Arabidopsis thaliana: one gene and its partners. The protein of the gene in region 3 interacts with the protein of the main gene of each other region in a pairwise test. Each region holds a gene or a part of one and is shown on either strand. Other genes may lie near its edges.

Region 1 (4,681 bases), about 17 Mb from region 3:
CCAATATGGAATGATCGCAATGAGTAACCAAAATTACATAATTGGTAAGGATTCAATTATAAGAAAATTAAAAAATAAAAATTTTGAAGATTTTTTCTTTTTCTTTTTCTTTTTGAATTGAATGTAAAATTATATTCAACAAACAACATTTTTACAAAATTTAAATTATATTCTAAGAATATATTTTATATTTTTGATTATGTTAATGAAGAAATTTTAGGTCTAGTTCGTATGTATAGTTCAATACGTAGTCCTTTTCTTATAAGAATTTAATATTTCTCATAAGAAACCATTGTTGTGTTCATATATGCTTTTCTTTAGTCGCGTAGGGTTATTGGTTTCACTCCCTCTAATCAATATATGTCGAAGATTATTATTAATGATGATATATAAAAGATTAAAAGTAGGTGTCAAATTAAATTCAGACACACTGCGAAAGAGACATTTACACGTGTTCTCTCTCAAAATTATTGAAGTCGCTGCGATGTCACAAAAGTATGAAAAGACTATTTTGTAATTTTATTGAAACTAGATTGATTTCATATATTACATTATTACAAAGATCCATTCGTGTGAACTACATACTTAAATTTTGATTGAGGAAAGAGTTGACTTTGACATTTGAGCAATTGTGCACACTCTTGGTCTCTAGTAGTAAACATAAGATTCTTCAAATGTTTTGAAGATTCAAATGAGCGACTAAATTGCATACAAGTAGAAACACATTAATTGCCATCACACTAGAGAAATGTCACTGTCTCATTTCCAAGCACACGAGGCAACCAAATCTCGATGCATCCAACCAAGATACAAAGCTCCATCTCTTTCTTCTAGCCTGTACTTGTCTGAGTAGTTCCTAAGCAGACTTTTAATGGTTGAATTCACCAAGGGACTCAACGGGTAAGGAGTGAAACCCGCCATCCCAAACCGTGACCTCCATTTTCCTAGGAGCTCGTGTCGCTCCACCCGATCAGCTCCTTCACATGCGATGATGTTCACGACATCTCTTGCTAGACAATGTTGCTCCACATTAATCCTCTGTTTGTGATCTCTTGGTAGAGTCACATCAATTGACTCAAACATCGCGGCATAGTAGTTCATTGTCTCCATGAACCTCGGGAAGAAAGCGGCTGTGTTTGTGTTTGACTCTTGTTCCACAAGAGTCACCACCTTGGGAGATAAGCTCTTCACCATTCTCAATAACCGGTCGCTGCAAATTATATTCAACTTAGTCAAAGGACTAAACAAAAGACTCATCCTACGTGTAAACAAATTTTAATAATAAAAACTATACCGGTGATTCTCGGTGCTCACGCTTTCGTCTGGCATATGATGAAGCACAAAGGCAAAGTTTACGGCTAGAGCTTCCCCAGGTCGAACCCCGAGGTTTTTAGGTTTAACCTCGGAAACTGACACCGATACCGAGTTAAACTCGAATGGAACGTTGAACTGCTTAGCAAGCTTAGCGAGTCTATTTCCAACAATGCTTAGGCCACCTCCACGAGCATACGCTGAAGTCATATCATCGATACCCGTTATCCGAATCCGCGGAGGCCCACCAGGCCTAGCTGCAAAAGCCTGGATAAGAGTGACCCATTGACTCCCTTGACCGATTTGGAAATCAATAATGTGAACTCTGTTTTCTTCCTTCATTGCCTCAGCAATAGCACCATTTGCTGACATGTATCCAAACTTGAAGTAAGGACAAACCTCATAGAGAATGTGCATGTAAGAGAGAAGCTCTGTGCTAGCCGGTTCAGGACACCTATTAAGTGCTTTGTATATAGAACTGCCCGACGAAGCTAGCTGCGCCACTAGACCTTCCAATAAGTAAGCTCCCAACCGTTGAATAGGCTCACCAGAAACCGAAACCATCTGCCGCAACTTCTCCATCATTGAATGAGCCATCATAAGATCATTTTCCGACATAGCTTTGGCACATGAAACAAGATCAGCTCTTAAATCCCGCCTCGAGATAGCCTCTAGAGTTGATCTCCAACCATTAATCTCTTGACTCGCCGTGGAATCAAATGAGTCCGTGCAATCGACAAGTAAGTCCAACGAGTCCGGCCCCATCATCACCGTTTCGATTTCCCTAATCTTGTGTTTGAAGTCATTCAACTCATCCGTTACACAAGAGCCACATGTATCATCATATGTAGCAGTAGATAGAGCATTATAAGGAGGAGAGTCAGGAAATGGCTCGAGCGTACAAAACCGTTTACGAGAGTTGTTAACCGGTAAGTACCTAAGCTTCTCAACAGAGTTAGGCTCAAAATAATAAGCCTCAAGCTCTTGTCTAGGCTGCTTGTACATTTCTAGTCACTTCAATGATCTGCACAATAACTGCAAGTATAAAAAAATCAGACTTAAAGACTCATCTTAAACCATCCTAGAGAAGCTCTAAATTACCCTGAATTATTTTTGTAACTTAGATCAACATAACCTCAAGTTATATTCGTCTATACATAACACAATTCTAATGCAAATAACCACATAATTAGACATATATTAATCAAATCTATTGATAAAAACAGAGATTAAGAATCCAACAAAGCTACAAATTCATACCTTTTTAGGTTATCTAAGCAACATAACCACCAAATCAAAGAATTTTCCAACAGGATCAAAAGAAGAGGATGATTTAAGACCTAATATTATCATGTCATAAGATATAAAAGAAAAACAAAAGTTATAACTTGAGGAATCAAAGATCAAACAGAACTGTTCTAAGTGAACGAAAATCCAAATTTAGTAGTACCCACCTGACTTTTTCGGAGATGAGAAACCTTAAAGTAGTGAATGTTATTGAAGTTCCATGTGAACCAGAGGAAGAGAGAAGGGAAGAGAGAAAGTTGTCGGAGACAAGGCACATGGGAATGGCTCGAAAGACAAAACAGAAGTCTCACTCTTATCACAGAGAAAAAAAAAAAAGAAACAGAATCTTAAACCGGCGTGTGATTTACGATTATACCACTCAAACATGTCGCTCCCACCACCACATCATTTGATGATTTATTGAGCCTCCAATTATATTAGATACATGTCCCCGATTCATTATTTGTCTCAATCTAGTTTTCAACTTTCACTATCTCTAATCTTAGTTTAAGATTAAAGTATTAAAAAGATTTTTTTTTGTTAATCGGAAAATTCTAGGTCAAAACCGAAACATTCCCGAAATGCATATAAATTCAGGTTTTTTTAATCACTAAAATCGTCTATAAAATTGTCAAATTGTAAGTGCAAATTAATTCCTAAAACATACGAGAATAATTGATTTTTTTACCCTAAACATAATCAAACCAGAGCCACTGGTTTACCATAACTTAAGTTTATAGTACAGAGTAATTTAATTAGCTTTTTTTTGTCACCAAAAACAAAATTTGCATAAATATTAACAACACAAAGCCACCAATTATTTGAGTAAATGTTCTTTTTTGTCGTAAACTTCTAATCAAATAATTCAGTTTTAATATAATGCATTTAGAAAATTATATATAAATACACGGAAAAGAAAACTAATTGGCTTTTAGTAGATATAGGAAGACAAGAAGGAACACCAAAGAAAATCAAAGTCAAAGAATGTTGACCGGGTAGAGAACGAAGACTACAATGCTGAATTCAAATGATGTGATTTCATGCCACACGACTGTGGAAATTACGAAGTAATTTGATTTTGTAGAAAATAACGAAAACAGAAACTTATTTCTTATGATAAAATGTCAGTTTTTGTTTTCTTTCTAATTTTACTATACCATTTTAATCATCGAACATACCTATTTTATCCATAGTTTTGGAAACATTTGGATCGTTTCAAAGGAAAAAAAAGCAAAAAATCTATAAAACAAATGGTCAAATTTAAACTGCCATGGATTGTATCTTGAACTTCAAATAACTTGTGATAGTTCTTATAGTACAATAATAAATCTGAAGCTAAAATACTTTTGATAACCAAAAGCTTATGATATAGTGATTGAGCCTAGGATCCATCCAAAAGATTGTGTCATAAGTCATACTAATTTGATACGTTGAGATGTACGAGTTTTGGTTCAGAATTTTACATATAATTAAAAAAAAGTTAATAAGAAAATCCAGATTCCAAACTAAAAAGGTGTTAACTAAATCTTGCAAAGCAGTTAAAATAATAAAAATAAAATTTACTCTCTTTTGTAAGTGAATGTTGTGTCACTATGACCCCACAACCCAACCCCCCTTTGCCGTTCTTTTTTGTATCATTATTCTTTTTGACAACCCTTTCCATTATAATATGGTGGAGATATCTCACGTTTAACAAAAATAAAAATGTAGAGGGGTAATGTGTTTTAAAAACATATATAAATGATTCTCTAAATCTGTCTATTTGTCGTTTTTTAAAACTTCATACAATGAGTGACGTCCCATGTACCATGTATGTAAATGTGTGTATGTATGTACATGGGACTTGTAAACTATATATATAGAAAATCTAATGCTAATTCTTTTCCCATTTTTCTCATCATGGCTAAACTCTCATCATCTCCAACTACAGATCTTCTTTGGTGATAGAAATGCAGAATATTTCTGAGATATCATCATCAACCTTTTTTTTTAAGTAATGCATATCTTACACCATCTCCATCAATGGTTTTTCATTGAGAAACTGTTCAATATAAAAATAAAATATAATCAAAAAGTATGAGAG
Region 2 (4,349 bases), on a different chromosome or scaffold from region 3:
AGAGTTGTTACTCATAATAACATGCTGGACTCGGAAGTTGATGATAAAGAAGGAGATGCCAACAAGACTCCACAGAGCTCAACTCTTCAATCCATTACAAAAGACCAGCATGTCGAAGATCACTTAAGAAAGAAAACGAAGACTAATGGCTTTGAGAAAAGTCTTGATCAAGGTCCAGTTTTGGATGAGAAGCTGAAGGAGGAAATAAAAGAGAGATCAGATGCAAACAAAGATCACGCAGCCAATCACGCCAAGCCGGAAGCAAAGTCAGATGATAAAACCACTGTTTGTCAAGAGAAGGCAGTAGGAACCCTGGAGAGCGAGGAACAAAAACCCAAGACAGAGCCTGCCCAAAGCTAAGCATTCAGTGTTGTACCGAGTGGTAATTTATATGGCTGTTTTAACATAGATTAGTACAGGCGATATGGTTATAGACTGTACAGTTGTTGTTCAGGCGGGACCAGATTTAGATTAGTGTTTAATGGAATAGTATGCTTTAATACCTTTATGTAACCACTTCCATTTGGTTCAAATAAGAGTTACAGGAAGAGAAGGTAACACAACAAGAGCCCTTCTTTGTTGATGGAGCCTGTGTAATAGTTGTAGCATGGGGATGTATATGATTTGATTCAACCTTATTAATGGTTATGAGACAAAACTATCTATTACTTCCAGTTCTGTCTTTTGCATTACATTCTTGGAGACGTTTATTCTTTCACTTCCATGCACAAGATGAGACCAAGATTCGGTCCATCCAACCAAGGTACAGAGCACCATCTCTTTCTTCAATCGCATACCCGTTGCTGTAATCTCTCAAGAGGGCTCTAATGGTGGCTGAAATGATTGAGCTCAAGGGGTATGGCTCAAAACCCGCCATGGAAAACCTTGACTTCCATTTCCCGAGAAGCTCGTGTCTTTCGATCCTCTCGGCTCCTTCACAAGCTATGATGTTGACGACATCCCTTGCCATGCAGTGCTGCTCGATATTGATCCTTTCCTTGTGATTTCTCGGAAGCATAACATCGATAGATTCGAACATTGCCGTGTAATAACTTAATGTCTCAAGGAACCTAGGAAGGAAAGGGGAAGTGTTCGTGTTGCATTCTTGTTCCACAAGAGTGACTACTTTAGGTGATAGACTCTTCACCATCCTCAGCAACCGGTCCCTGTGGTTTTCCATGCTTACACTCTCATCTGGCAAATGATGCAGCATGTAAGCAAAGTTCACTCCAAGGGCTTCGCCATCTCGGACATCAAGATTTTCCACTTCAACTTCACAACTTGGCCTTGAAACCGCATTGAACCTGAATGGAACATCAAACTTCTTTGCAAGTTTCTCTAGTCTCTTCTTGACTGTAACCAAGACAGATCCATCACCAACTCCGGTAATTCGAATATTTGGAGCCCCACCAGGCCTAGCTGCAAAAGCCTGGATAAGTGCTATCCACTGGCTCCCTTGTCCAATTTGGAAGTCAATAATGTGAATCCTCTCTTCATCCTTCATTGCTTCTGCAATCGCACCATTCGCTGACATGTATCCAAACTTGAAATATGGACAAACCTCATGCAGAACATACACATAAGATAAAAATTCATAACTCTCTGGTTCTCTGGACTGGAGAGACTTATATATCGAACTACCAGAAGCAGCAAGCCTAGCAACAAGCCCTTCTAACATATAAGCTCCCAATCTCTGGATTGGCTCACCAGAAATCGAAACCATACCGCGCAACTCACCCATACACCATCGTGCCATTAGAAGATTATTCTCAGAAACAGCTTTTGCACAAGCAACAAGTACCAACTTCAAGTCTCCCCTTGATATTGCCTCCACTATCAATAACAAATCTTTAGCATCATCAGGCCACATGGAGAGTTCATGGCAGATAGCATCATCGATACTCTCAGCTATCTCTGGCAGTGGCTGCAACATTATTGAACCTCTTACATTGTCCATCACAAATAAGCAAGTAAGAATCTTTGAACATCAACCATTATCCTCAAATGACCTTTTATTTATCTGATCTTCATAACAAACACCTGTAGAATTCATAGACAAAGTCATTAATCAGAGACTGAATTAGATATCAATATTGAACAATAATATCCATGGAGATCAAAACTCTAACAAGAACTCTAGTATCATTGAAATCAACTCATGACTCTATGAATCTACGTCAGCCATGAACTACTTCATCAATAAACAAGGCATACAAGAGTTCCAATCCTAAACAAACTAATTTGACAATTTCTCTTCACACTTTAGAGTAAAGCTTGCTAGAAAGAGCAATCATTTACAACAAACCAACATCAAACTTATCAAAGAAGAAATGTTTTCATGTTTTGTGGATAAGAAGAAGCAGAGCATCAAAATCATCAAGAAAAGAGAATAAAGGTTTGATTTTTATGAGAAAAACAAACCTTGTGTAGGTTAAGAAGTGATCTTTCGGTGGAAGTCGATAAGGGATTTGGTTTTGCAAGTGAGAGATCCAACCAAAGCTCGCAGCTGAAGCAAAAGGAAGAATCTTTTTAGTTGCTGTAGTGAAGAAAATAACACATCACATACGACGTCGTTTTAGGCTTAAACCGAATAAGACCCGATCACCGACTTGACACATCTCGCTTAAAGTCTCTGGTCAAATGGGAAATAGTGTAAGAAGCAATCTAAGAGACATCAGAGGACGACGATCGATGGATCCTCGGATGTGGCACAAAGTCGCCGCTATTTCCGGTGAGATTTAAGATAAAGTAATGATCTTTTGATTTTGATCTTGTGAGGAAAGGTACTGATTCGGATAGAATTGGTTTAGGTATGGCTGCTCTTGGTTTGGGAACTTATGGTGCTCATGTCTTTAAACCAGAGAACCCTTCTTACAAACAGGTTTAGATTCTTGAAAATTGTTGGAAAATTCGATACTTTGTTGGATTTCTGTGAGAAAGTTTAGGTTTTTTTGTTGTTGTTCAGGTGTGGCAAACGGCTTCACTTTACCATTTGGTTCACACTGCTGCTCTTGTTTCTGCTCCTAGCACCAAATATCCCAACATTGTTAGCTTTCTCTTCTTGTACTCTGTTTCTCTAATCTTTGTCCTTTGAGAGTTGATGGAGCTGACATATCTTTTTCTTGCTTAGTTTGGTGGCTTGTTGACTGCTGGAATTGTAGCCTTTTCCGGCACGTAAGTTGTTATCTTTTTGTTTCTCAGATTCTTCAGTTTGAGATGTGTATGGTAGAGCTTTTGTGCTAGATGTTTGTTGGATGTCTTGTCATTGAGGTTATAGTAGTGCATTCATGGATATTTGAGCTATTTAGATATGATTTGGACTTTCTAGAATTCATATCTAATCTCTAGCAGTAGCAATACTTGCCACAATTCTTCGTGGCTAGGGAGATTTTATCGATTTCGACATGTGTCCAACTCTGAAGCATTTGGAAACCATTGTATCACTTATTTAATAGCATAGGTCTTTGTATTTGAGTTAATGAATGGTATTTGTCCCCTTTGTACTTCCTTTGATATGTGAAGGTATGCTCTTTGGAGAAGTAACTATATTTTAGATGCTTAGTAGATAACTTTAGTTTTGTGTTCAATAGTCTATTTCCGGGTATGAGTATGTGAGAAGTTTCATGTGTGTTGAAATGTTGTTGCAGGTGTTATATGGTAGCGCTGCGGGAGGACAGAAAGTTTTCGACATTGGCACCATTCGGAGGCTTTGCGTTCATTGCTGCATGGGCAACTTTACTTTTCTAAACAATCTCATAACCATCTATATTGTCAAGTTTGTGGTCAAGCTTATCCTACATATGAACTCACTGTTTTTTTTTGTTTACCTAAGAGATTGCTTAATAACAATTCTGTGTCGACAACCATTAAGCATCTTCCTTTACTTGTTCAGTTTGTTGCTAAAGGGATTATGTAAATGACGACCATATTAATGTAATCTTATTACCATACAATTTATCAAAATTCTACATTACAAGAACTTCCAAGTTCCAACAAAGATTTGTTTATATTGTTCACCGGTAGTATAATTCATCATCTTTCATTTCATCTTGGTCTTTCCTTTGAATCATTGGACATACTCAAAATGGCACATACTCAAAATGGCACGAATCGTGACCTATCAAATCATGAGATAATCAGAAACAGATGGTTCAAGATTTTGATTGATCAAAGAGCTTAAATAACTGTAACAAAAAGGGTTTAGATAAAGTTGCTTACTAGGGTCGGTTTGTGTGATAAATGCAGTGCTGTTGAAGTTACAGGAACCGCCGTTGCGCTTATAACGCTGGTAATAGTTATTGAAGACAACAGAGGCATGGTCCTTGACAGTGTTGGGCAAGAAGCAAGGC
Region 3 (3,733 bases):
CGTAGTAATTTTTTGAATTCAAACTGACTGAAGAGATCCCCCAAAACAGTCCAATAAAATTGGAAAGGAAATTGTGTATGTATAAACTTGATATATAATTACTTAAATCAAGGCTGTCATCTTAGTCCAAGAAAACGGGACGAAAAATATTAAAACTAAACGACTCTCAACAGATGTTATTAGTACTGTCATGTAGGTATGCTACTTTGCCTTATGTCTTGTAAGATACACGGTAGAAAATGTATTTTCATTCAATAAATAAAAAGCTTTGGTTTGTTATATCTGCGTTGGCAATATAATGGCCACATAACAACGCAATTCGGAATTTAGCAGTTATTAATGCTATAATTTTATGTGTCTACATGTGTGTTTGTTTGGGGGAACTCCAATAAATTTAAAGGGTAACACTCTTGTGTATTTATAATTTCTTCTTTAATACAAAACGAATTACCCCACCCAAAAAAAAAAAAAAAAAAAAAAAAAAACTTAAAACAAATCCAAATGCAAGGGTTACAAACAAAGAACCCATGAAAAACTCTTGAAAGAAGTAAACAAAGTGATCACAAACAAAAACACACGCATAATGAAAAATACAAATACAAAAAAAAACTCAATTAGAAAACATATGATCCCCTCATAACAAGTGACCCAAATCCTTTATTATCAGTTTATTGAAGATCTCAAAAACCAGAATTAGGAGGTGAAGAATCCCCAAAACGCAAATATCTGGCGTAATCTTGTTCATCATCTTGTTGCCTTGAAGATCCACCAGAAGATGAAGAATTTGTAGTAGATAACGTCTGATGATTATACATTGAGCCTCCGGTTTCTCCACCGGCCAAGCTATAACTTAATGCATCGTTACTATTCCCCCCTTGATGAAGATATTGGTTATAGTAGTATTGGTTAAAATAAGGTATGGTTTGCGGATTAGTCTGCGGATTTGAGTAGTAAATTTGATTATTAGAAGAATAATAGTTTGGTGGACCGGTAGTTGTACTAGTGTTACTTGCTAGTTGAGCTCTCTCAGGGAAATTGAGTTTGGCTTTGCTTCCTTTGAACTTAAGAGCTGCGTTATCATAAGCTAAAGCCGCAGCTTCAGCAGTCTCAAATGTCCCGAGCCACACCCGTGCTGCCTTTTGCGGATCCCGAATTTCAGCTGCCCACTTTCCCCATGGTCGTTGTCTTACCCCTCTATAGTGCCTCTTCCTCAATAGCCCTAATCAACAAGAGAAAACATTCGTATATATACTTGATATATTTCTCATATATACTACATGGATATATTCGTCGTCCAGAGCACAAATTCAACTGCTATTATAAAACATTATGCTCATTTTTTCATTCACATATATCATCCCATAAATATGGTAACTAATTTGTCAACTATATATGTAAATATACCTTGATCTTGAGTTGGAGGAGCCGGTGGGTTAGGATCTTGTTGATTATACACAACAGGTTGATGTTGGTTATTATCATGAGAGCTGCTTTGGTTTCCAATGACTTGAGTCAAGGCTGAGACCATGGCACGCATGTCATATTGGGATCGGGCAGAGAAGAAAGGGAATATGTTCTCATCATCATCGGCTTCTTTCTTTTCATCCGATTCATCGCCTCGAAAGGGCCTCTTTCCATAATTTCCTGAATTCGCCATCTTTGCTAAAATCTTTAAACCTCTTTTTTCAGGTGATCTCGATTGTGTCTGTAAATTTAGGGTTTAAGATTTGGAATTGAGGATGTCTTGAATATGAGAAACAAAGAAAAGACGAAGAAGGAGAATGAAAGAGGGAATATATAATTAGGGTTTTAGGGGTGAGCTATTTTGACGGTTTTATAGAAGCTTTTTCGTCTGTGTGAACATAAGACAAATGACAAAACAAAATTTAACGTCAAGCAGAAGTTTTGCATATTTTTAAAAAAATTATATATTTTTCTAGCTATTGTAATTTTCGATATAGAAAATCATGTACTATATCAGTGTACCCTGCTAAAACTGTAGAGACGCGTGAAAAAAGCTTTTTGATTTGATTATTGCAAAAAATGTGTACGTGTGAATCTGAACAAGTTAAGAAATGGATATCAATAAAGATTAGTAGAAAAGCTCTAATAGAAGAATGTAAAATAATATGAACGCTATGTAAAGCTCCAAGATGACAAAAAGAAAAAAATAAAGAAGGAGTGCATGCATATATACATATTCTGTTTAATTGCTTTTTTGAGAAAACATGCATGGAATCGAAGAAGAGAAAAGAAAAATAATTATATTCTTTTGGAAGTTTGATTTAAATACAAAGAAACATAGATATTCTTCGTGTATAACTATAAACCGACATTCTCTGGAAAAGTTAAGGAATAAGAAAATAATCAAATTGTTTTACATATATGTTGTGATATAGAAAAGGAGTTTACGTTACGCGAGAGTGGGGTCTTTTCTCCCCTATAAAATATTTGGATAGAGATTGAAAGACAAATTTAGTTATATTCGAGAAATGTGTACACATTGATCACTAACTCAAGTAAAAACGTGTGAAATGTTGTTATTGAGGCTCTTTCTACTTTTGATAGATAATTCGAAGAGGATTTCTAATTTCATCTATATCTAGAAATAGTTCAGTTAAATGAGTAATGAAAAAACATTTTTACATGCAAACACCAAGTCCAAGATTCAAGTTTTAGAAAGAAAAAAAGAGATAAGATTATCACAATTCAGGAGATCAAAATTGGAGTAAATTTTCATACTCACTTAAAATGTATATATAGATAACGGGTTAGATTACTATTAATGTTTTTTAATAAACGATAAAAAGAAAAATTAGTGGATCTAGGGAAAGTTTACAGTAATATATTAACATTTAAAGCACCATTTTGGTATTAAACAAACAAATTATTATAAGGATATGCTCACACACACAAAAAAAAAAACATTTTGTATGGGCCCTTGACAAGTCGCAATTCACAACTAACGATATTTGTTGATCTCAAATATTTAATTTCCTAAAATCTAGCTTTTGATATTCTAAGAAATAACTTTTTTTAGGTATAGACAGAGCTTTTTTTCTCATTACGGAAGTAGGAAAGAAACCAAGAGAGTTGCAATCGAGAAACTGTTGTCTTTTTTTAGTCATGTTTGCACGTGGCACACATGACACATGTGTTTGTTTGTTATTCTTTCTCAACAACAAGCAACATGCTTTTTTTGTTTCTTTGTAATGTATTAACTATTAAAGTAAAAAATATGTAATATTCAAACTTGATTATAAATACATTGAAATAAAAACATAACATATAGCATGGCATCTGATAAAACGTAGGATAACACGTTTTGACGGGACGACGAAAAAATAATTTCTGTTCAGGATTGCTGTTCAGGATGTATAACGTACTCATTTGACTATGGATAAATATGATTTGATATTATTATGATCTATTAAATTAGCCAACTTTTCTACGTCTAAATTATACAAAAATGACATTATATAGCTAAGATTACGAGAAAAGAAAGTGACTTTTTTAATAAGAAAGTCAATCTGATAGAAAAAAGGTTGAGAGTATCTTACAACGACATGTCAATGAATTTGAATTTAAATGAAAAAATTAAACTTTAAAACAGGATATACACATGGCATGTGTAGGTATTTTCAGATTTGTTGACGAGAACGAAGAAACAACATTTTGTGAATTTGCCAAGCAGGGAAAATGAGTTTAACGACGTCACATAATGTAAATTTTT

Evidence for each region.
Region 1: the proteins of AT5G07310 (region 3) and PAT1 interact in binary tests that used the Arabidopsis thaliana proteins (3 or more experiments, as listed by UniProt).
Region 2: the proteins of AT5G07310 (region 3) and SCL21 interact in binary tests that used the Arabidopsis thaliana proteins (3 or more experiments, as listed by UniProt).

What each region holds. Positions count from the first base shown.
Region 1 is NC_003076.8:19,521,738-19,526,418, forward strand, and holds PAT1 (GRAS family transcription factor), read right to left. Parts: upstream 3,052-4,681; 5' UTR 2,766-3,051; exon of another isoform or gene 2,652-2,765; 5' UTR 2,572-2,651; intron 2,347-2,571; 5' UTR 2,317-2,346; coding exon 1,295-2,316; intron 1,211-1,294; coding exon 760-1,210; 3' UTR 501-759; downstream 1-500. UniProt on the Arabidopsis thaliana protein: Probable transcription factor involved in phytochrome A (phyA) signal transduction.
Region 2 is NC_003071.7:1,719,860-1,724,208, forward strand, and holds SCL21 (SCARECROW-like 21), read right to left. Parts: upstream 2,746-4,349; 5' UTR 2,732-2,745; coding exon of another isoform or gene 2,641-2,731; 5' UTR 2,422-2,640; intron 2,041-2,421; 5' UTR 1,958-2,040; coding exon 716-1,957; 3' UTR 502-715; downstream 1-501. Other genes in the region: ZAP1 (zinc-dependent activator protein-1), read left to right, coding at 1-360; AT2G04900 (uncharacterized protein), read left to right, coding at 2,641-2,731, 2,811-2,881, 2,966-3,046, 3,131-3,174, 3,648-3,747; AT2G04910 (Carbohydrate-binding X8 domain superfamily protein), read right to left, coding at 4,121-4,349. UniProt on the Arabidopsis thaliana protein: Probable transcription factor involved in plant development.
Region 3 is NC_003076.8:2,303,608-2,307,340, reverse strand, and holds AT5G07310 (Integrase-type DNA-binding superfamily protein), read right to left. Parts: upstream 1,791-3,733; 5' UTR 1,658-1,790; coding exon 1,405-1,657; intron 1,220-1,404; coding exon 681-1,219; 3' UTR 504-680; downstream 1-503.